Linked DNA regions of Tamandua tetradactyla. The protein of the gene in region 1 interacts with the protein of each later gene in a biochemical or structural test. Links are inferred from orthologs where the notes say so. Each region holds a gene or a part of one and is shown in the gene's direction. Other genes may lie near its edges.

Region 1 (7,248 bases):
TGGGCTGAAAGTAAGCCAGGTAGCTCCTATTTACTGAGCACTCTGAAGTTGCTTAGTTCCAGGGGCAAGGTAAGGTGAACATCAGGTGACAGATGTAACCTTCACCCTCAGCAGCCTTGACAGTCTGGCAAGTACGTATCTGTGATAAGCTCCAGTGTGTCGAGGCAGAAGAAGTAAAGGATGATGCTCCTGGGTAGACACGAGAGCAATTATTGGTGAAGTTCTATACCATATCCTGTGCTGGCCCACTGGGAAGTTTGACTAATTCCCAAGCACAATAAGGTAACATAGACCAAACAGTGTGATTTCATGCTTGGGAGCACTATGGAAATATCAGACTGGAAGAGAGTCGCCCCCCCCCCCCCCCCCCCCATAAAATAAGCACAGTTTCAATGATGACTCACAAGTGGAGAATCCTGAAAACAATTTCCCAGTGCCCAGCTCTAAGCTCCAAAGAGAGCTACCAGTAGGCTACTATTATTATACACAAAGATGATCTGAAGATGAATACCAAACCATTCATTCATTCATTTAACAAATATTTGGCATTAGTTTCGGTGCTGGGGACACAAAGATAAATAAGACACAGTGCCTGTCCTGCAGGAGCTCAGGCTAGGCTGGGAGAGGTATGTACCAAGCATGGTGGAATAATAGAGAGGAAATGACTAACTTTGTCTGGTAAGGCCAGATGACATCTAGATAGATGGCATTGTGCTGAAGTTTAAAGAATAGGAGAGCTGGCTAGCTGAAAACAACAAAGGGCATTTCACACAGAAGGAACAGCAACATGAAAAAACTGATCAGCTTGAACAGGCAGTGCATGCCCAAAGACGGTAAAATGTTTGGCATGATCAGAGGTGGGTGGGTGAAAGGGGCATGGTAAGAGATAAGCATTCAGAGAAGTGTAGTACTTATGGCAGGTATGAAAAAGGGGGGATTGCAGAATCTGCTGTTAGTCATGGAAATTAATATAAGGGCCACAATGCAATCTGGTTGTTTGAATAATATAACAAAGAAAGCAGCAACCCAGTAGAAACAGCGAAATGCTGTGCCCTGCCAGGAGCATTTCTGGTGTGATGTGGCTACGACTTAGTTAAATGGTTCTCAGATATGAGTAGAGCTATCCAAAAGATGTGTAACTGTACAACTGAGGCCATGAATTTGGGGGACGCATGGAAGGCTTGTGGATGCAATTTAAAAGAAAGCAGTAGGAAGGGGCCAGTGATGGGCTGGCTCATGATTGGAGGACAGCAGTTTGGCCAGAAGGCTGGGAGTTTGGCAGAAATGCAGCTTAAAGCAGGACCTCAATGGGAAGCGAGAGAAGACCTACACGTATCATGGAGCCCTGAAAATAACTGTCAAGCATTTGCATTTGGCTAGAGAAGCTAGGGGATTGAGTGCTTGGAGGTGGGGAGCAGGGGACAAGAACATTTACCCCAGCCCTACAGATTTGAGGATGTTGCAAAATAAAATGACAACTGTCTCATTCCTGAATGTCAGAAACCCAGAAAGGCACTTTGTATACATTGTATCATTTCATTCTCATAGCAACCTATGAGGAAGATAGTTTATTATCCATGTTTACAGAGGCAGAAACCAGGTAGAGAAATGTTAGGTATCTTACCTGTTTTACAACTGGTTAATGGTGGAATTTGGTTTTAGACACCAAGTGCAACTGTCTCTAAAGCTTTTGTTCTCCCAGTCGTCCCCCCTGCCTTTTTTTTTTTAATTTTGAAACATTCCAAACCTACAGAAAAGTTAAAACATGGTAAAAAGAACATTCATATACTCTTTATACAGATTCACTGACTGTTAACAGCCTGTGCCTTTTTAAAATTTTTATTAATAAAACCAGTCAACTTACAATATGAACATTCTTTATCACATAGTTGTGTATTTATCATAATTATCATTTCTTAGAACATTTGCATCAATTCAGAAAAAATAAAAAGAAAACAGAAAAAAAATTCATACATACCATACCCCTTACCCCTCCCTTTCATTATCACTAGCATTTCAATCTACTAAATTTAACATTTGTTCCCCCTATTATTTGTTTATTTTTAATCCATATGTTTTACTCATCTGTCCATAAGGTAGATAAAAGAAGCATCAGACACAAGGTTTTCACAATCACACAGTCACACTGCAAAAGCTACAGCATTATACAATCATCTTCAAGAAACATGGCTACTGGATCACAGCTCTACATTTTCAGGGAGTTCCCTCCAACCTCTCCGTTATGCCTTAACTAAAAAGGTGGTATCTATCTAATGTGTAAGAATAATCTCCAGGATAACCTCTCAACTCTATTTGGAAACTCTCAGCCATTGACACTTTATTTTGTCTCATTTCTCTCTTCCCCCTTTTGGTCAAGAAGTTTTTCTCAATCCCTTGCGCTGAGTCCCAGCTCATTCTAGGATTTCTGTCCCACGTTGCCAGGAAGGTCCACATCCCTGGGAGTCATATCTCATGTAGAGGAGGGAGGGCAGTGAGTTTGCTTGCGTTGGCTGAGAAAGAGAGAGGCCACATCTGAGCAACAAGAGGTTCTCTTAGGCCTAATTTTAAGTACAGCCTGTGCTTTTTGACAGATCACTCCATCTTCTCTAAGATACTGGTTGGGATATGACTGGTTTATAGGAAAAATTTAAAAACCAACAGAAGGAAACCTTGGAAAAAGATGTGGGAGAATCCCTCTACATAAAAATGTGTGGATATCCTGAAGACAGAGACGGAATAAGCAGAACAGCTATAAACTACCCAACTTCTGTGAACAGAGCAATGCTGCGGGAGCCACTGGCAATGGAAATGGAAGAACATTCCTAGAATCCAAGCACCGAGTGGAAAAGAACAATGGGTTTTTCCAGTGGGCTTCAGACCTTTACATTTATAACTATACATTCATTCATTCAGTGCTAACTATGCCGGGCTAGATGTCTTCTTACAGACATTTTCTGCATTCTTTAATGCATCAGAACCCATAAGTCTTGAGGCCAAAATGTAAGTGTTCCTACTAGATGAAGGGGACACACACACACACACACACACGAGGCCCAGGCCAAAGAAGACTCTTTATCGTTTGTCTAGAACTATTAAGGAACTAAAACGCTGCAAGATGGAGGTTCAGATCCTGATTCTACTACTTTCTTTGTGATGTCTGAGTTATTTCATTTCTGAGCCTTACTTTCCTCTGCAAAGAGGACACACCTATATCAATTTCAAAGGATTGTCAGAGGCGGGGTGCAAGGGTTGCTCAGTGGTTGAATTCTCACTTTCCATGCGGGAGAGCAGGGCTGGATTCCCAGCCCATGCACTTCCACCCACGCACCCCTGCCCCCCCAAAAAAGATTGCGAGACTAACTACCTACACGTGCTCATTTGAAAGCCGTCCAGACAAGAGTGTCGGTCACACCCGTCCTAACTCAACAGGGAGGAGGCAGGCCAAAAGGCAGCCTGAGAGCAAAGACTGCCTATTCCGCTTTTAGCTCCAGTATTAACGCTGGAATATAGAACTTTATTTTTTATTAAGTTCCACTCCACCTAGTTTCCCAAAGCATTTAAACTGGCAGCTACATCGTCAAGGTACTAGTAGTGCACTTCCTTCATCTGGGGAAGGGAGAGGAAAAGGAGGGAGATGTTACAGGTTAAGATTCCACAGTAGTGTCGGGCTAGATATATATTGCGCAGACCTTATGTGCATGACAATCAAGCGCCCCGGATTTCAAGAGTCTTGTCCGTGTGCGGCACCACGCAGCCAGCCGTGGTTTCACTATAGTTACCAGTCACATTGTTATGAGGAAATGTGGGCAAAGGAAGCTCGGCATCTCAGCTTGCAGCTCATTCGGCGACAGCAGCAAAGCGCACCCAAACTCCAGCGCACAGTCCTACCACGCCGGGGAACTCGAGACGGCGCCAGGACTGCTTCCCGGACGCGCGGGGAGCTGGGAAAGGTCGTTTCCACGTAGCCTCTGCGCCCGGGGCTCTCAGGCGTAGGGAGGAGCTGCGAACCGACGCGCCCCCGATGAGCCGGGGGCTTCCCGTCGCAGGCAGGCACCCGGGCGGTGTCTGTGACGTTTCCCAGCAGCCTCCGCGCTCGGGGGTGCTGGGAAAGGTCGTTTCCCAGCAGCCTCCGCGCTCGGTGCTCTCAGGCGGGGGGGGGGGGGGGCGGGCCAACGCCAGCTGCCGGCTCGCCGGGCGTTTCCGGTCGCAGGCGGGCGCCGTGCGCGACGAGCGCGAGGCCGCCTGGGAAACGCGGCGGTCTGGGTGGGTGCGCGCGCAAGTGGCGCGCTCCGGCTGCTGAGCGATGGAGGACGGAGGCCGTGACAAGTTGCCGGTGCAGTCCCAGCAGCCCCCAGCCACAGCCCCGGGTGGCGCGGATGAGAAGCCGAGCGGCAAGGAGCGGCGGGATGCTGGGGAAAAGGACAAAGAGCAGGAACTGGTGAGGCACGGCCCGGGGAGCCAGCGGACAAGGCCGCGGGCTGAGTCACGGCGGCTCCGCAGGCCTCCGTCCCGATTCCCAACGGCCCCGCTGGGGCTCCCGGCACCCTACCTCTCAGCCCCTTCTGCACGCCGCGCTGGTACCTCCGTACTTCCCACCAGCGCTCACGACCGCCTCGCGAGAAAGGGTCGACATTGTCACCCACCTTCAAAGAACGGCATTCAGGCAGAGCCTGGCCCAGAACCAGGCCCCCTTCCCAGCACGGCTTCCCATTCCCACTCTGTTTCCTTGTCCCCCTGGTTCCTCCTAAAGAGGCAGGCTCGCTCCACCAGCCCCAGGGTGAATATGAGGAGGATGTGTTTGAGATTCCTTGTCTTAATGAGCTTCTTCCCTCAATCCTCCAGTCTGAGGAGGACAGACAACTACAGGATGAACTGGAGATGCTCGTGGAACGACTAGGGGTGAGTCATGATGTTAACCTGAGCGGATGCATATTTGGATCTTTCCCACTTGTTTGCCTTATTCCATTTTTAGACAAGGAACCCTGTGTGAAGTATGGAGAAAGAGGGACTGTATTTTAGGGTCAGTGTTATGATTTTATGAGGGAGTAGAGTTGCAAAGGATATTGAAAGAATTTGTAGCTTTCTCTTATGGGAGAAGCAGAGTTCTTGAACTCTACCTGGCGTCAGTTTTTTGGGGGCCAGTCAGTGTGCAGGGAGTTGGGGAATCATAGATAAATGAGACACAGTTACTTACCTAGCGGAATCAGGGTTTTAACACCTCTGTATTATGAGTTGGCAGGATTACGACACCTTTTTGTCTGAATCCTAACATCTTCTGATCAGGAAAAGGACACATCGCTGTACCGACCAGCCCTGGAGGAACTGCGGAGGCAGATTCGTTCTTCTACAACTTCCATGACTTCAGTACCCAAACCTCTCAAATTTCTTCGACCACACTATGGCAAACTGAAGGAAATCTATGAAAACATGGCCCCAGGAGAGAATAAGGTATTTCAGAAATTGGTAGAAGCTCTAGTTTAGGAAGTTCTTCTCATTCAGGCCATTGGTCTTATGGTGAGTTCTTGGAAGCCGGATAGACCTGAGACCTGAGCTGGTTGAATAGAGCTCATCACAGTAAAAATACCCACATGAGAACTGAAAGAATTAACTTCTCAGTAAACGTTGTTTCTGTCCTTCATGTTGGACCTTTAGCGTGATCTTTTTTTTTTTAACAGCAACAACAAAAAACAGCTTTATTGAAATAGGTTACATTTCATCCATTTGCAGTACAATTCAATGCTTTCCACTATGTTGATAGATATATGCAGCTATCACCAAAGTCAATTTTGTAACATTTTCATCATCCCCAAAAGAAACCCCATATGCTTTAACAGTTAGCCCCTTATTCTCCATCCCCTTCCCCTCCAGATTTAGGCATCTGCTAATCTACTTTCTGTCTCTGTAGATTTACCTAATCTGGACATTTTGTATGAATGGAATCACATAACATGTGGTCTTTTTGTGATTGACTTCTTTCACTTAGCATGTTTTCAGGGTTCATCTATGTTGTAGCATGTATCTGCACTTCAGTCCTTTTTGTGATTGACTTCTTTCACTTAGCATGTTTTCAGGGTTCATCTATGTTGTAGCGTGTATCTGCACTTCAGTCCTTTTTGTGATTGAATAATGTTCCCTTGTATGGCTATACCACATTTTGTTTATCCATCTGTCGGCTGATGAACGTTTGGGTTGTTTCCACCTTTTGCTATTTGCTGCTGTAAACATTAATGTACAAGTTTCTGTGTGGACATGTTTTCATTTCTCTTGTTCTATCTCAAAAATATGCTCCTCCTAGTTGAGTCACTTCTCCATCTGTTGGTACAGCCTTAGTTTCCTGAACCACTGCAGCAGCCTCCCAACTGGCCTTGCCTTTGTCCTTGACCTCCTACATAGTCTTTTCTTCATACTACTATTATAGCTATCTTCTAGATTGTGTGTCTCTTCTGCTTAAAACTTTCTAAAAGCTTACTATTACAATGAGGATAAAATCCAGAGTTTCTTTCTCCACTCCCTTTGGTTTACCACCTTTCAGTCAAGTTGGTTTAAAAGGGTTATTGTGAAGCTTAGCTTAGATAACATAAGTAAGTTTCTAGCGCAGAGTCTGGTATATGGTTCACACTTAATTTGGGGAACAAGTGACATTGATCTTTATTCCATAATGTCAGGCTCCCCTTAATCTGGACTGTAGGATTTGACTTCAAAGGTCTGTTCTTTTTATAGCGTTTTGCAGCTGACATTATCTCTGTTTTGGCCATGACCATGAGTGGGGAGCGTGAGTGCCTCAAGTATCGGCTGGTGGGCTCCCAGGAGGAATTGGCATCATGGGGTCATGAGTACGTCAGGTAAGGCCTTTCTTCTTGGGAATCTGAGGGGGAAGTCTGAAGTATAATTCTGACATCTGGCTTGGATTACTTACCACCTGTCTTAGTGTAGCAGTGTATCGAGTTTCTCAGAAACTGAATTCCTTGACCTATAGGGAAGAGCTTCCTGTGAAGTTGGGTTCCCTTAATGGTCTGGGCCTATCCATAGGCATCTGGCAGGAGAAGTGGCTAAGGAGTGGCAGGAGCTGGATGAGGCGGAGAAGGCACAGCGGGAGCCACTGCTGACCCTGGTGAAGGAGATCGTCCCCTACAATATGGCCCACAATGCAGAGCATGAAGCTTGTGACCTGCTCATGGAAATTGAGCAGGTAGATATGCTGGAGAAGGACATTGACGAGAATGCATATGCAAAGGTCTGCCTGTATCT
Region 2 (7,390 bases), on another chromosome or scaffold:
TTTATGGAGATGGAACACTCTTGTCTTGATTCTAGTGGTAGTGACACAAATCTACAGTGTAAAAATGGCATAGAACTACACACACATGCACATCATACCAAAATCAGTTCCTTCATTTGATACTGTACTATAGTTATATAAGATGTAATCAATGGGAAAAAGTGGGTAAAGGGTACAGAGGGGAAACCCTCCTGTGAGTCTAAAATTATTTTAAAATAAAGTTTTAAGAAAACCCCATATAAACTATATATACATATAAAGCATAGAAAAAATTTTCAAGGATAAAAGCTATCAGTAGTAAGGATATGAGTATATTATTTCAATTCCTCAAAAATAATACTTCATGGATTTCTTATATAATTCAAAAGTAAAAAAGTAGTGCGAAATCATTGTAAAAACTCAAATATAGAAGATATAAAGAAGGTAAAAATCACCTGTTAAATGATGCTATCCAGAGGTAAACTTCATTCCTTCAACAAATATTTATTGAAGGTGTCCTGTGATGACATCAACTATGGGCATCTCGGTATATGTGATTTCAGACCTTTTCTATGTATCCAATCATATCCACATTTGTAAAGGAATAATTAATTAACTTTATGTACTATTATATAATTTGCTTTCATTATTTAAAAACATTTTTTTAATTCCCTTATTCATCACTTATTTATTACCTACCTTAGCCAGCCTCATATTCGGCTCTGAGATTAAAATCCTGACTTAATCAGATATGGGCAGTTTCCTCACAAAACTTACAGTATAATGGGGAACAGGGTAATTAAAGAATGAATCTCTCAAAGAAATACACAATTACAGATTACATCAAGTTTAGACAACTATAAACAATATTCTGAAATACTCAACTGTGCAAGGATAGGGTGACAGCTAGGGTGGGGAGATACCATGGCATGTTTATTATTGATGGGAATGAGCCAGTAAAGAGAAAGGAAGTAAAAAAGAACAAGAAAGGGGATACTGAATTCACAGAAAGGTTTGGAGGAGGATGTCAGAGCATAAGTATAGGGGTTGGATTCAAGTAGAAGCAAACTGCCTCAATTGTAACAGATGCAAAAGAAGCAAGGATGAGTACAGATATAGGTTGGTTTGTAGATTTAGAGGTTGAAGTTGAGGCAGTTACTATTTGAAGTCTTCTATTTTCTTAGCAAAACAGGGGGCAATGTTATCTGCTAGGAGCAAAAATGTAAACTAGAAGGTCTGAGGTATGAAGAGAGTGGAGGTTTTGAGTAGCCATTTTGGAAAAACAAGTGGGATAGAGAAAGGCAGTGAAATTGCCAAAGTGAGTTAAGGGCCTGAAGAGATCTGTTTTGCTGGGCACATTCTTTTCAACCATCCTCAGCTCCCTTACTGCAGGCAAGGCCAAAGCAAGAAAGGAGGTATTAAAGAGAGAAACTAAGTGCTATACTGAAGAGGGGGAGGTTTTGTCTTACAACTGGGAAGAGAGGGAAATGTTTATGAGGGAAATAGATCTGCTTTGCTCAAGGGTGGGCAGTGGCCAGAGGAAGAAAATGACCTTGGAAAGAAAAGGTTAAGAAAACCAGTCTGAGGGAAATAGAGATAAAACTGGGGTAGAAGTAGATTTCTGGCCCAGGTGCAAACATGTCCTTTTGTCTTCCTAACCAAACATAATCATTGTGATATTAGCAGATTATCGTCTGATTTTGTGATTAGTTCTATATAGTCTCTAGGACCTGACAATTTATCTAAACTTGAGGGATGATTTTCCAGGCATCTTTAGCTGCTGAGGAGGTATATGAATGAGGTATGGTGTATTTTCCTCCATGTATTAGAAGAGAGGCTCAAGGGAGCAACAAAAGCAAGGAAGCAGAAGCTTAATTTTCTTACAAGGGAGCAACAGAAGCAAGGAAGCAGAAGCTTAGTTTTCTTACTGGCAATTTCCAGTTCCTCTGAGTCTTTCCCTAGGTCCAGATTGCATTTATAACCAGTTTCACTAAGTGTCCAATTTCCTTGTTCAAACAAATACCTGGCAATCCACAGCAAATGTTTCCTTACTTAATGCTTTTAAAAAATTTTTAACTTTATTTTTATTTTGGGTCTATTTATTACAGAATTGGCATTACACTAATACAATCATTGCTAAATAGTAATAATATATTTATCCTATAATTGCACATAATTTTATTTACTGAAGGAATGTCTTTTACCCTCAAGATCCTCAATTTTCAGAATTGAAACATTTTAACTGAAACACTGAAAAGCTAAAGTTGCTGCAAGGCATAGGATTAAAACACCTAAAGATAGTTGGTTATATTGTCAAGAGTGCAGCTATGAAAAACTGGAGCTCAGGGGCCAGACTCCTTGGGTTCAAATCCTGCCTTCCCCACTGACAAGCAGTGTGACCCTGATTTCCCCATCTGTACAATGGAGGGATAAGCGTGCCTACGCCTCAGCAGGTATCAGACTATGGCTAAGAATGGTTTTTAGATTTTTAAAAACAAAGATGACTATGTGACCCACAAATCCTAAAATCTTTATTCTCTGGCCCTGCTGTAGAGTGGCTGTAAGGATTATGGCCAGTTCAGGTTGGCTGGTGCCTAGTTCCAAATAAGCACTCAATACATGTTAACAATTAATGTTTCCAAAAATCCACTGTCACATAGCCAAATTCTGCATTTTGAAAAGTGAACGTTTCCTCCTTCTTTTCAAAAACAATATAAAAAACTGCCAAGAACTACATCTTGATTATTATGGCCCTAAGACAAATTTAACAGATACTGGTAGTCCAATTTTACTTACTTGGAATATGCACTAAGGAAAATAAACACTTCCCCTTTATAGGAAAGGGCCTGAGATGGTAGAAAAAACCTGGAAACATGGATGCTTGACTCATTTTAATATGTTAAGAAAGATCAAAACATTTAAAAATTAGAACATGATTTAAGTAGATAAAATGTAAATCTGATTTAACAGTATTTGATGTTTTTCTCCATAAAACATACACAAAGTCTAAATGTACTTCAAAATGAAAATCTATTCAAGGCCCAGGTAGAAACAACATAAAGCTAGCTTTTGAAAACCTAATTAGATAGATGAATAATACCCTCAAATGAGACTCCTGGCAAAACTAGTTTGATTATTAGGTATACTAATTTCAGACACAATTGACGTCTCAACCGAGGCAATATTTCCCAAGGTATATCTTGAGACACTGGTCCTGCCAAGACGCTGTGTGTATGTTTTTTCAGGGGGTTCTAGGTTCTAGCAGTTAGGAAAACATGGCACACTTTATTCTTATCTTAGAAAGTCACAATGCACAACAGTATAACAAAGGTTTTGAAACATAAACAATGTTTTTTTTATTTTTTGAATGTTCAGCTAAATGGCAATGGATTTGAAGGAACTGAGACATGGGCATAAAATAACTTGAAGTCACCTGTTAGATATTTGTCCAAAATACTATACTACTCCTTCATCTCAGAGAAATACTACTCTTAAGCACTTGGCAACTCTACTAATGCCTAAAATATCAGATCCCTTGTAACATGGCTATTTTATTAGCTAAAAAATTCTTAGTGATGCTTTACCAAGTTTTAGTTGATCTCGTGATTAAGCTTCCCTAATCACAAGTGTAAAAATACAAAGTAGCCAAAACAATTACTTAGCAGACGAACAAAGCAAGGAAAAGAGATTGGGCTAAAGAAAGCCATGATTCATTCCGAACACAAGTCTCTCGTGTTTTGACAGTCTCTTTGGCCAGATTGCTAACGTGATTTTTGCACAAACTATATTACTTTAGGTTTCCTCTTCATTTCCTTTTTAAAACCTGTTTTATTTGGTGCCATATACACCAATCTAATGGAAAATAGTTTTTTTGTTTGTTTTGCTTAGCAGCAAGTGGTACACTTTGGGAATTTGCTTATGGACCTACTGGAGACTGCTCCGAATTTCCATTATAGTCTGAAGTTCTTTTGCCAGGGTCTCTAATTGGTTTTTCTTGAATTCAGAGAGAAGATGGAATGGAAACAGGGATAGGAGGGTGGAGATACAATACAATATTGTATTATAGTAATTCGAGCGCACCTCTCATATTGAATCTGCTTCTTTGACTCTGAGTCACTTAAGCTTGCCGGTTCCCTTGCCCCACGCTCTAGAGTTTCCCTTTGTAAAACTGGTAGAACCCAAAACACCTGAAATTACTAGTATTGGCGGGCCCTGAGGCCAGTGAGGGAACTTAAAGTCTCCAGTGCTCAAAAGTCACCTGTATCGTGTCACATTTGGAACACGATACAGCCAGCCACACGAGTCCTAGTCCGGCGTCCCACGAAGATCTCAGAACACCTGGAGAAGCCAACGGACCACGCCTGAAACGGCTCGAATTTCGGCGAAACAATACATAAAACGTCACTACCACCAAGCACCCGCCTCTCTCAGCCCCCGAAGAATAGCAGGCGCAGGCGCCGAGTCGGCGCGGTCCAACGGTCCCTCCGGTATTGCCGGCAGCTACACAGCGGTCACATCCTGGAAAAGTCTGGCTTCCTATTTATCGTCGTGGAGATCCCAGAAGCAGAAACTATCTTGGATTAGCACCCAAACAAAAACAAGGGAACCGCCCTTGCATTCCACGGTCCAGCGGTTTCTCTCTCCAACCACTAACTTCCGGTTCGTCTTAGCCGGTTCCGGTCCCCGTTCTTCACTTCCGGTCGCCTTCAATTCCGCTGCGGCCGGTTCCTGCGTCCTCTGCGGCCGATTCTGCCGCGCTCCAGGTGAGGGGACCGAGGTACCCCGGCGCGCTGCTCTTGAGGCGCTGTTGGGGCTGGGGAGCTACTCCTTTCGCTGTGTGGCCCCAGCTGTGGCGTGTCCCGGCAGACTGGGGTCCGATTCTGGGTGCCCCGGGCCGCGTTTGCTTTAGTCCGTCACCCAGACGGCTGGCACGGCCAGCTCGTCGTGGGGCTGCCGCCCTCGCATCCGGGCTTCTCGCTTGTGTCGGGGGCTTCCCGCCCTCCCATAGATTCTGTGTCACAAGACTTTATTTCTTTCACTTCTCGGGTTTCTCCATCTCTTCACCCTGTTGGAGGTATCCATGCTCTCTGTACTCCTGGGGTCTCTACCTGCCTTCTGACGCTTCCTCGTGCTCCTCCTCAGTTTGCACAACTCTTGCGACTGTACCACCCCGCAGTTGCTGCTTCTGTGCTCTCCTGGCCAGGAGTTGACAGTACTTTACAGTTAGCTTTTACTAGGCTTTTGGAAAAGGAGACTCCTTCCCGTCGTTTCCTAAGATGTTCCTTTTTCTGCTATTACGGTCAAATTTCTTCCTCTGCTACGTTCTATTTCTGTGATCTTGGGCATCTTATTTAACTTCCTTTTCAGTTTTCTGGTCTGTAAAATGAGAACAATGGTTGTTAATTTAGGATTCTGAAAATTAAGTTGTTTAGCATGCTCTCATTCTACCACCTCCATTCGTATAGCTCTTTACAGTTTATAAAGGGCTGTCAAACCTGTTATTTCAAGCCTCCCACTAGTTCTTGTCAAGTAAATATTAATATCCTCATCTTGGGGATGAGAAGAGGTAGGAATTGACTAGGCAAAGTCGTTACGTGTGACTTTGAAGAGGAACTGGAACGTAAACGGCTGTTTCTTGACTCTAGCTTTACCATAAAGATGTGCTCCCGTAAGAAGTAAGCCTGGGTGGTTTACTTATTTAAGTTTGGTTGCCCCCACCTTGCAAATCATTTTTTTTAAGTTTGTAAGTCTGATGTTCAAAATGACACAAAATACTAGAATAGTGAGGAAGAACGTTAAATGTGAAGACAACATAAAATGACATAACATTTGTCTTGTGCTGCTCCGTTGGTGTAAATGGTCCGACTATTGAAGAAATGAGGTCAGTGACTTTTTGAAAAAGGCATTTAAAAGGTTTGTTTTGTTATGATTGGTCCTTGCAATCAGTTACCGGTTTAAAATGTCCACTTGTGGTATAAATGATTTATAATATTTGTATACTGCTTAACCAAGCATATAGATTCCATGCCATCTGGCACCTTTTCTTTTATAATGCTGAGAAAACTGAAGAGCCTAGAGTCATATCTCTCAAACTTGAACATGCATCAGAATCATCTATAGGGCTTGTTAAAATACAAATTATAGGTCCTGTCCCCCCATCCCCAGTTATATTTTTAGCAAGTTCCCAGGTCACATCAATGCTCCTGGTCCACTTTTTTTTTTTTCTTTATGTGGGCAGGCACCGGGAATCGAACCCGGGTACTCGGGCTTGGCAGGCAAGCATTCTTACCTGCTGAGCCACCGTGGCCTGCCCACGTGGCCCACATTTTGAGAATTGCTGGCCTAGAGGTGAAATGACTTAGGTGCTCTTTAAACTCTGTTGTACTCATCGCACAATATGCTGTATTAGTGCTGCATTCCTAGCTCCTAGAAATTATCATTTTTATTCCTACCTCTTAAAAAAAAAAAAGTAAACCATATTCCACTCTGACTCAGAAGGTTCATATGGCTTGTTATTGAAGATCATAACATTTGCTAGAGCAGTGTATTCTGTGTATTCTGTGAAATGGAATACATTGCTCTAAATTACCACAATTCCTTTGAATTTCCATAGCAGATTTTAAACATAAGTGAGTTAATATAAATGAATTTGTGTGCCTTCTTCTAAAGGGACACGTTGAAGATAAATTGCCAAATATTTTTGCATATTGAGAGTCAAAATTTGCTCTTTTGCAAATGGTTATAATACGTGAAGAGTGCTTCATTAACTAAATTAAAGCATTTGGAAATGCCAATACTTCGAGATTAGAAAATCCATTTCTCCAACCTGAGAGAGAACAAGCTTATGGAAATTGGTAGAAAACTTTTTGGAGGAAGAGACCTCCATTGTATTGCTAAGAGGAGCAGTTGCTATATAATCTTTGTATGCTTAAATCTGTAGGACTGTGAGTTTTGTATTTACTAACCTTTGATGCCTTAATTCCTGTAGGTCCAATCCAAGAGAGATAGTTGTGGTGTGGGTGAAGAAACATGAGATTTAGTTAGAAGACCTGTTTCTTTTACTAGCTGTGTGCCCATGAGCAGATTACATAGCCTCTCTGAACTCATTTCTTTAATTGTAAAAGGGAAAACTTATCTCACAGATTTATTGAGAGGATTAAATGAGGTTGTGTAAAAGCTATGCAATTCATAAAATATGAAACAAATGATGGCTATTTACTGTTAACCACAGAACATAATTAGTTTTCTTTTAATTTTATTTTTTTAAATTTAACCAGAGTACTTTGTTTAAATATGCCTATGGTTAAGTTAAAATATCCATTGTTTGTGGTTCTAAGTGTATTGTTTGTTTTCTTAAATAAAAAAAAACAGCAAAAAAATTGAACCAGTATTTTATAGTGTTTACTATGTG
Region 3 (7,692 bases), on another chromosome or scaffold:
AAGATCCCAGAGTTTGTCATGGGCTACCGTCCATCTCCTCAGATTTTTCCTTCTAGCTGCTCCAAAACATTGGAGGCTAGAAAGAATAAATATTTTTTTATCATCACAATCAACCTTTTTCCTTTTTTGTGAAAAGTAATGTATATACAAAAAAGCACCAAATTTCAAAGCACAGCATAACAGTTAGTTGTAGAACAGATTTCAGAGTTTGGTACGGGTTGCAATTCCACCATTTTAAGCTTTTACTTCTAGCTGCTCTAAGATACTGGAAACTAAAAGAAATATCAATATAATGATTCAGCAATCATACTCGTTTGTTAAACCCTACCTTCTCTGTGCAACTCCACTATTACCTTTGATCTTTCTATCCCACTCTTTAGGAGTATTTGGGCCATGCCCATTCTAATTTTTCATATTGGAAGGGGCCATCAATAATATGGGGTAGGGAGGTAGTGATCTAGTTGATGTACTGGAGAGGCTGGGCCCTCTAGGTTTGAGGACTTGTCTTGTCCAGGAACCCAACTGGAGGTTTTAGGCTTCTGGAAAATTACCCTAGTGCATGGGACCTTTGCAGAATCTTATATATTGTCCTAGGTGTTCTTTAAGATTGGCTGGAATGGTTTGGGTTGGGGGTTGGCAGATTATGATAGGTAGCAATGTCTAACTGAAGAGTATGTAACAATGACCTCCAGTGTAGCCTCTCCACTCTATTTGAACTCTCTCAGCCACTGATACCTTATTTGTTACACTTCTTTTCTCCCTTTTGGTCAGGATGGCATTGTCGATACCATGGCACCAGGGCCATATATAAAAGAGCCTCTTAAAATCCAGAAACAATAATTACCACTCCAGACTAAATGTGCTATAAGAGCTTACAATCCAGGACTCTGTTTTCTTATAAGCATTTTCTAAAGGAGACTAATTGCTCTTTTGTTTCTGGTTTATTTTGCTTCACCAAATGTCCCACAGGTTCATTCACAATGTTGCATGCCTCATGACTTTGTTTCTTTTTGTAGCAGCACAGTATTCCATCATATGTAAACACCATCATTGGCCAATCTACTTCTCAGGCAGTGCATCCTTCAGCCACCTGCATTCATTAGACATTATGTATACTGTCTGTGGTAGTTAGAGTTACTTGTCAACTTGGCCTGGTGAAAGTACCTAGTTCTGTTGCTGTGGACATGAGCTAATGATATGTGAACTCATCTGTTGCTCATTACATCTGCAGTCAGCTAAGAGGCATGCCTGCTGTAATGAATGATGTTTGATTTAATTGGCTGGTGCTTAAATGAGAGCACTCAATGTAACACAGCTCAAGCAGCTGAGCATACCTCATCTCGGCACTTGCTCAGCTCAGGCCTTTGGCAACGCAGAAAGAAATCACCCTGGGGAAAGCTGTTGGAACCCAGAGGCCTGGAGAGAAGGCCAGCAGAGATGACCCTGTGCCTTCTCACGTAAGAAAGAACCTTAGTTGAAAGTTAGCTGCCTTTCCTCTGAAGAACTAACAAAATAAATCCCCTTAAAAAGCCAATCTGCTCTTGTGTGTTGCATTCCGGCAATTAGCAAGCTAGAACACTGTCCAAAGCCCACAATCCATCAGCACTCTCAACTTTAGATAGCTTCATTGTTCCTAAGAGAAAGATTACCAATAAACACACCCTCACCAAATAGGAAATCTAAACCTCCCCTTAACTCTTGTCCCTTCCCGCAATAACTTCCCCTGGTGTTACTGTGGTATTGCTGATGTTTTCCTGTTAAACATCGCCCATAGCATGCAATAGCAGTAGCAGTTTTCCTCCTGTGCCCTGGACTTAAACACTCTTTGTACATGAATCATCACTTTGAAATAGTTCTTGCAAGAACTTATTATTTTTTTTATTGTTAATCAGTAGGACACGTAGGTCTATACAACCCCTTTCAATCATGTTCACCTTCAGTATGATAATTTTATAGATCCACTAGAGAACCATCTTCACGTCTATCTATTCCCTCACATTTGAGTTCAACCTCATTAGCTAACCATTCACCCATTTCTAGCTTCTATGCATCTCTAAGCCCCCTATAGTCTGTATTATAAGCCTCTGATTTTCCTTTACCATGGTCATAAACATATGAGTCACACAGTATCTATCCTTTTGTGTCTGGTTTATTCACTCAGCATTATGTCCTCAAAGTTCATCCATCTTGTCATGTGCTTCAGGACATCATTTCATCTTACTGCTGCATACTAGTCCATCATATGTGTACACCACATTTTGTTAAGTCACTCATATTTTTTTATTTTTAATTTTATTGAGAAATCTTCACACATTCTTTCTATACATAGTGCAACAATCTATGGCTTACAATATCATCACACAGTTGTGTATTCAACACCCTGATAATTTTTTAGAACATTGCATAACTACAGAAAAAAAATAAAAAGAAAATACTCATACATACCATACACCTTACCCCTCCCTCTCATTGACCACCAGTGTTTCCATCTACCCAATTTATTTTATGCTTTGTCTGCCCTATTATTTATTTATTTACATCCATACTTTTACCCATCTGTCCATACCCTGGATATAAGAATCAGACACAAGGTTTTCACAATCACACAGTCACATTGTAAATGTTATATCTTTATAAAATCCACTCGACTGTTGATGGGCATTTGGATTGTTTCCATCTCTTGGCAATTGTGAATAATGCTGTGTGCAAATGTGTGTTTGTGCCACTTTCAGCTCTTCTGGGTATATACTGAGTAGTGCTATTGCCTGGTCATAGTGCAACTTGATATTTAGTTGCCTAAGGAACCACCAAACTGTCTTCCACAGCGCCTGTACCATTATGCATTCCTGCCAGCAGTGGATAAGTGTCCCAATTTCTCCACATTCTCTCCAACATCTGTAGTTTCCTGTTTGTTTAACAGCTGCCATTCTTATAGGTGTGAGGTGGTATCTCATTGTAGTCTTGATCTGCTTTTTTCTTATAGCTAACGAAATGAACATCTCTTCACATGCTTTTGAGCCATCTATATTTGCTCTTCAGAAAAATGCCTATTCATTTCTTTAGCCTATTTTATAATTGGGTTGTTTGTTCTTTTGTTTTTGAGTTAGTGGTGGCATTTTGAGTGATTTCTATAGTCTTCATTGTACTTATCTTCATGCCTGATTTTTCTATGAACATGCATTACTAGTATAATACATTTAACCCCCAAGGTTATTTTAAAAGTTTCTTAGTTTCAACTGGAGCACCTGATGTTTACTATTACTAAGCGCTTTGATTGTTATTTCTGTGATAACTTTTTAGGGAAGTTGATACATTTTTATTGCATTTTGTAAACTACTAGACTACCTGAATCCGCCTTATATTCAAATAATGGATTCAGTTCAAACTAGTTTGAAATAAACTGATAACTGAGATTTTCTGTTTTTTTTCATTGAAGTTCAGGGTTCATATAACTTTAACAGAAACCCTAAACCCTACCCTGTCTTTAAGATTGTATGAGAATCAACAGGAAAATGCATTAATTCACTTACTCATACATTCAACAAATATTTTTTGAGCATCTACTACACTGCAAGTAGGCACAAGATTTAGGAATTAAAACTTTATTGCATATACAACTTTTTAATTATAATAGCCATGTGATTATTATTAGTTATTCTAATTAACACACTAGATACCCACTTGAGTTCACTTCAAAAAGGAGACCTATCTTTGGAAAACCCTCATAATATTCCAAGTGCTGAGTGACATTGACAGTCTGAGGATGCAGCTTTTGCTTCAGCACAACTGGATGAAAAAGAAAAATTAAATGCCTTCTACTGATAAAGCACAGTGTACTTAAAAACAATTTTTTTTTAAACATGGGCAGGCACCAGGAACCGAACCCGTGTCTCTGGAACGGCAGGCGAGAACTCCGCCACTGAGCCACCATCGCATCACCCTAAACTTTTTAAAAGGACATTTGGGGATAATTTCATCCACACAAAGGTCTAGGTGGACAGCAGAGATATTACTGCCCTCATTTTATGGAGAGTAAATGTAAAAGCAAAGACGTGACATGGTTGGTAAGTGGCAGAGCTGGGACCGAAATCGAGGCCCAAGGTTGCCCTTTTCACTAGACTAGTTCACCTCTGTGTGTCTAAATATTCTAATAATTAATAAGAGAATCGTGCTGTTTATTAGAATATTTAATTAAAAAGAGTATTAGATTATCTTCATCTCAAATTAAGTTTGGCATCATATTGATCGCTATGAATCCACTTCCCAGAAAAATGCACAAAATTCCGCACACAATTGCAGAGTTTCAGGAAGCCACTGACTCTCATCCACTCATTCTTGTCCTTGGAGCCCTGTTTTGGAGGGCAGAGTAGGCTCCAAGTTCTTCAGCGTAGAGCTCGTTGAATACAACTTCAATCAGACACTCCAAGATGCGGTGCAAATCCGAGAAGAGATCTGCATGCCCTAGAAGGTGAGAAATGCAGTGGCATCTCTCCTACCTCCTACGGCCGAGTAAGGTGAAATGAGCCTGGGAGGTCACCCGGGTAAGATTCCCAGCCTGCAGGCACGTCTCGCGAGGGCGCGCACGCTTAGGGCGGGGCTCCGGCAGAGGCGCGGCCCCGGCAGGCCATCCCTTAGGCCTGTGCACCGAGAGGATCGCCGGAGTCATCGATGGCGGGGGCGCGCTCACTCGCTCGCCCGGGCGCGGGACCGCGGACGGGAACTGCAGTCGGCGGCCATCTTCTTTCCTAAGACGGCTGCTTCCTAGTGCAAGTGCGGGAGTCACTTGCCATTTTTCCGGGCGCCCCTTGGCCTCGGCGGCGAACAGTGGGGGAGACTTTGAATGAGGGGGGAGGTGAGGAAGAGCCGCATCCTCCAGTGTCATCGTCCCCGTCCTTATAGTCTCCTCGGCCGCCCCCTACTCATCCCAGAGGGCAGAGGCTGGGAGGGCAGAGCCACCGTGGGAAGGGAGGTTTCAGGCACGGGATCGTTTCTCCTCCAGCAGCAGCCGCGGCAGCCGACGTCGTCCTGTTCAGTGCCCGGGGCTAGGGCGGCGGTGTCACGCTCCCTGCGCCTCTCCTCCCCCCCCCACCCCCCGCGGGATCCTTTCCGCCCCTCCCCGGTGGGCTCCTGGCTGTATTTAGGGATCTCCTCCTAGATGGGATAAGCTGTAAAGATGTTTAGTTTTGAAGGGGATTTCAAAACCAGGCCCAAGGTGTCCCTTGGAGGAGCAAGTAGGAAGGTAAGAGACCAGCCTTTTTGTATAATGTATACATATAGTATATATGTTCTGAAAAATCTTCCGAGGAAGGAAGCACATCTTTTTTGTTAGCAGAGTCAGCTTTCTGGGCGCTTTGGTCTTCGGAATCGTGTTTTGGCAGGTGGGGTGTTCCTAGAATAAGGCTATTTCCAATCGATGCGCTCTCCCACCGCATACGCGAACACCAGGGACTCGCGCCCCACCCAGAGGGTGGTTGTAGCCGACAATTTGGGGCAAAATGTTTGCGACCCCCTGGGTCCTCGGGGCGGTGAAGCTTGAATTGTTGGTGTGGAGGAAGAGCTCTTTTCTTTCGCTTCTAAGTTTTAAGTCCGACCTTAAAAGTCGGCATCTAGCAAATCGAGGCAACCGCTAGCGTGCTGCTGTTTGAGAATGCTTTAAAATAAATAATTTCGAGGCGGCTCTGCTGGAATTCCTATTTTGGGTAGCGCTGGGACAGTGAGACATTATAAAAAACTAGATGGGAGAAATGACCGAAAAGGTTTCCAGTAGCAGCGCGATTGGTAAGAAGTCACTTCCTGAAATTGGCCAGTAATGGTTTCACTTTGGTCATCATAGGCAAAGAGCTGTTTACATCTCTTAATGAGGCGAAACTGGTAGGGTACATCAATAAGGATACGGAAAGAGCTTGGTAGAATTTTACACGTGTGTGTGGGGGGGTGTTTTAGACAGATCTTGAAAGAAGGGCTAGTGAAGGAAAGGTCTTGTATGTTAGAATCACCAGTAATTTCTGTTCATACTAAAGATGAAGTTATTCTTTTCTTCTTGCGGTAGGGTCAAGGAGCAGAATCTTTCTTTTCAGAAATGAACTTTATCTCATTTGCCACCAAATAGTGATTGCTTTTGAAATATTGCCCAAAGAATATTTTCTGTTGTAGATAGTAAATAGCTAATATATATTTTAAGATCAGTACTCCCTAAAATTAAGGCAGAACCCCTCATAATTAGCCACTAGTTTGACTGACAGAATATTGAGCATTATTCTTTACCAGGCTTCATGGTACATATTTCTTGAGAGACTTTAGGACTTTTTCCTATTTGACTGGTCATGTAATTGCTCTTATGATAACTGTTTAGCATGAGGGTAGACAAAATGATTACTCTGCTGTCCTCCCTTTCTGGAATTTCTAGCTAACCTCCTGTGATGAGTGGTATCTGTTGATTCATTGGAATTGTTAATAAATACTTTAGCATTGGTGTTGACATTGCTTCAGTCTTTTGTTCTCCAAACTTCTCCACTGTTCTGACTCATGAATCCCTCTTCTGCCTCTGTTTCAGTTTTACCAGATAAAACTTAAAATGTGGTCCTACAGATGGAGTGTTTAAAGAGTTTAATTGAATCCATTTAAGCTGCCTGTTTTCTAAAGAATTTTAAGTGTTCTTTAAAATGCATTTGCTTATTATAACTTGAGTCTAATAAATACAACTGTGAGTGATGATCAAGTCCACATAGGAACATACTTTTAAAAAAATGTGTACTATGAGGATGTATGTGTGATGTTGATTTCTGGGGGGTAGAGGAAGGAAACCGTGGGAGGGAGTTGGGAGGGAAATGTGCTGATCATTTTCAGGCTTTGAGCTTTTGTATGATAGGATTGGGATCTTCAAATGTGATCCACCGTTGTGCCTCTTAGCCAAACCAGAAAGATAGAATTGGAAAGGTGTGGAAAGTAGAGGTGGTGGTAAGGGGGTATTGTGCCGGTGGCAGGGTTTGTGGGTAGGAGTGACTGAGATTGACATAAAATCCAAGAATTTTTGTACTTGGAAGGGACTTTAGAGAACTTCAGGGCCAAATCTCCTAGTTTTACAAGTTTGGCCCATGAAATACCAAGAAAATTGAGTAATTGCACATTCATACAGCAAGTTAGTGGCAGTTTACCAATTTAGAATCCATGTCACTTCATTTGTGTAGACCTTGTGACTTCTATTACAGACAGAATTGCCTCCAGCATTCCCTAATACTGATGTTGATCCTTTTTCACCAAGTAATTCTGAGCAGAGCAGTTGTTTGTTGATCAGTATTTCAAGGGGAGATTAAACATTTGCTTTTTAATTGTGCAAAGGAAACATTTTTTCTTTTACTTTTTATTGAGATATAAACTTACATATATAAACTCAATAGGCAGATATTAATTATACAAATCTTAGGTTTCCTAGGGGAAGAGTCTGATGAGATTCTTGTGTGAGTGGATGTTGAAGGAGGAAAAGGGAGTGAGGGAAGCAGGATAGGGCTGGAGAAAAGCTAAGACTGTATCTTCTCAGCTGCAGTCTAACTTGAGCCTGATTCCACGTGGCATGGCTGGTATCCCATGTTCTCTTTTGAGGCTAGAGGGTGGTGGCCATTTTGTACTCCCTTATCACTTAGTCATTGTCTCCAGTCATTGCGCCCCTGTGAGAATAGGTAGAGGGTGGGAGTG

What was found.
Region 2: the proteins of PSMD2 (region 1) and UBLCP1 form a complex in vitro, tested with the Homo sapiens proteins (3 studies listed by BioGRID). The link is inferred for Tamandua tetradactyla from reciprocal best matches to the Homo sapiens genes PSMD2 and UBLCP1.
Region 3: the proteins of PSMD2 (region 1) and UBE3C form a complex in vitro, tested with the Homo sapiens proteins (2 studies listed by BioGRID). The link is inferred for Tamandua tetradactyla from reciprocal best matches to the Homo sapiens genes PSMD2 and UBE3C.

The regions. Positions count from the first base shown.
Region 1 is NC_135336.1:2,646,123-2,653,370, forward strand, and holds the start of PSMD2 (26S proteasome non-ATPase regulatory subunit 2), read left to right. Parts: upstream 1-4,240; 5' UTR 4,241-4,303; coding exon 4,304-4,438; intron 4,439-4,842; coding exon 4,843-4,899; intron 4,900-5,283; coding exon 5,284-5,448; intron 5,449-6,720; coding exon 6,721-6,842; intron 6,843-7,029; coding exon 7,030-7,248. UniProt on the Homo sapiens protein: Component of the 26S proteasome, a multiprotein complex involved in the ATP-dependent degradation of ubiquitinated proteins.
Region 2 is NC_135346.1:40,523,436-40,530,825, forward strand, and holds the start of UBLCP1 (ubiquitin-like domain-containing CTD phosphatase 1), read left to right. Parts: upstream 1-4,383; 5' UTR 4,384-4,742; intron 4,743-7,390. UniProt on the Homo sapiens protein: Dephosphorylates 26S nuclear proteasomes, thereby decreasing their proteolytic activity. Recruited to the 19S regulatory particle of the 26S proteasome through its interaction with 19S component PSMD2/RPN1.
Region 3 is NC_135327.1:203,136,988-203,144,679, forward strand, and holds the start of UBE3C (ubiquitin-protein ligase E3C), read left to right. Parts: upstream 1-4,686; 5' UTR 4,687-4,840; coding exon of another isoform or gene 4,841-4,852; 5' UTR 4,853-5,173; coding exon 5,174-5,239; intron 5,240-7,692. UniProt on the Homo sapiens protein: E3 ubiquitin-protein ligase that specifically catalyzes 'Lys-29'- and 'Lys-48'-linked polyubiquitin chains.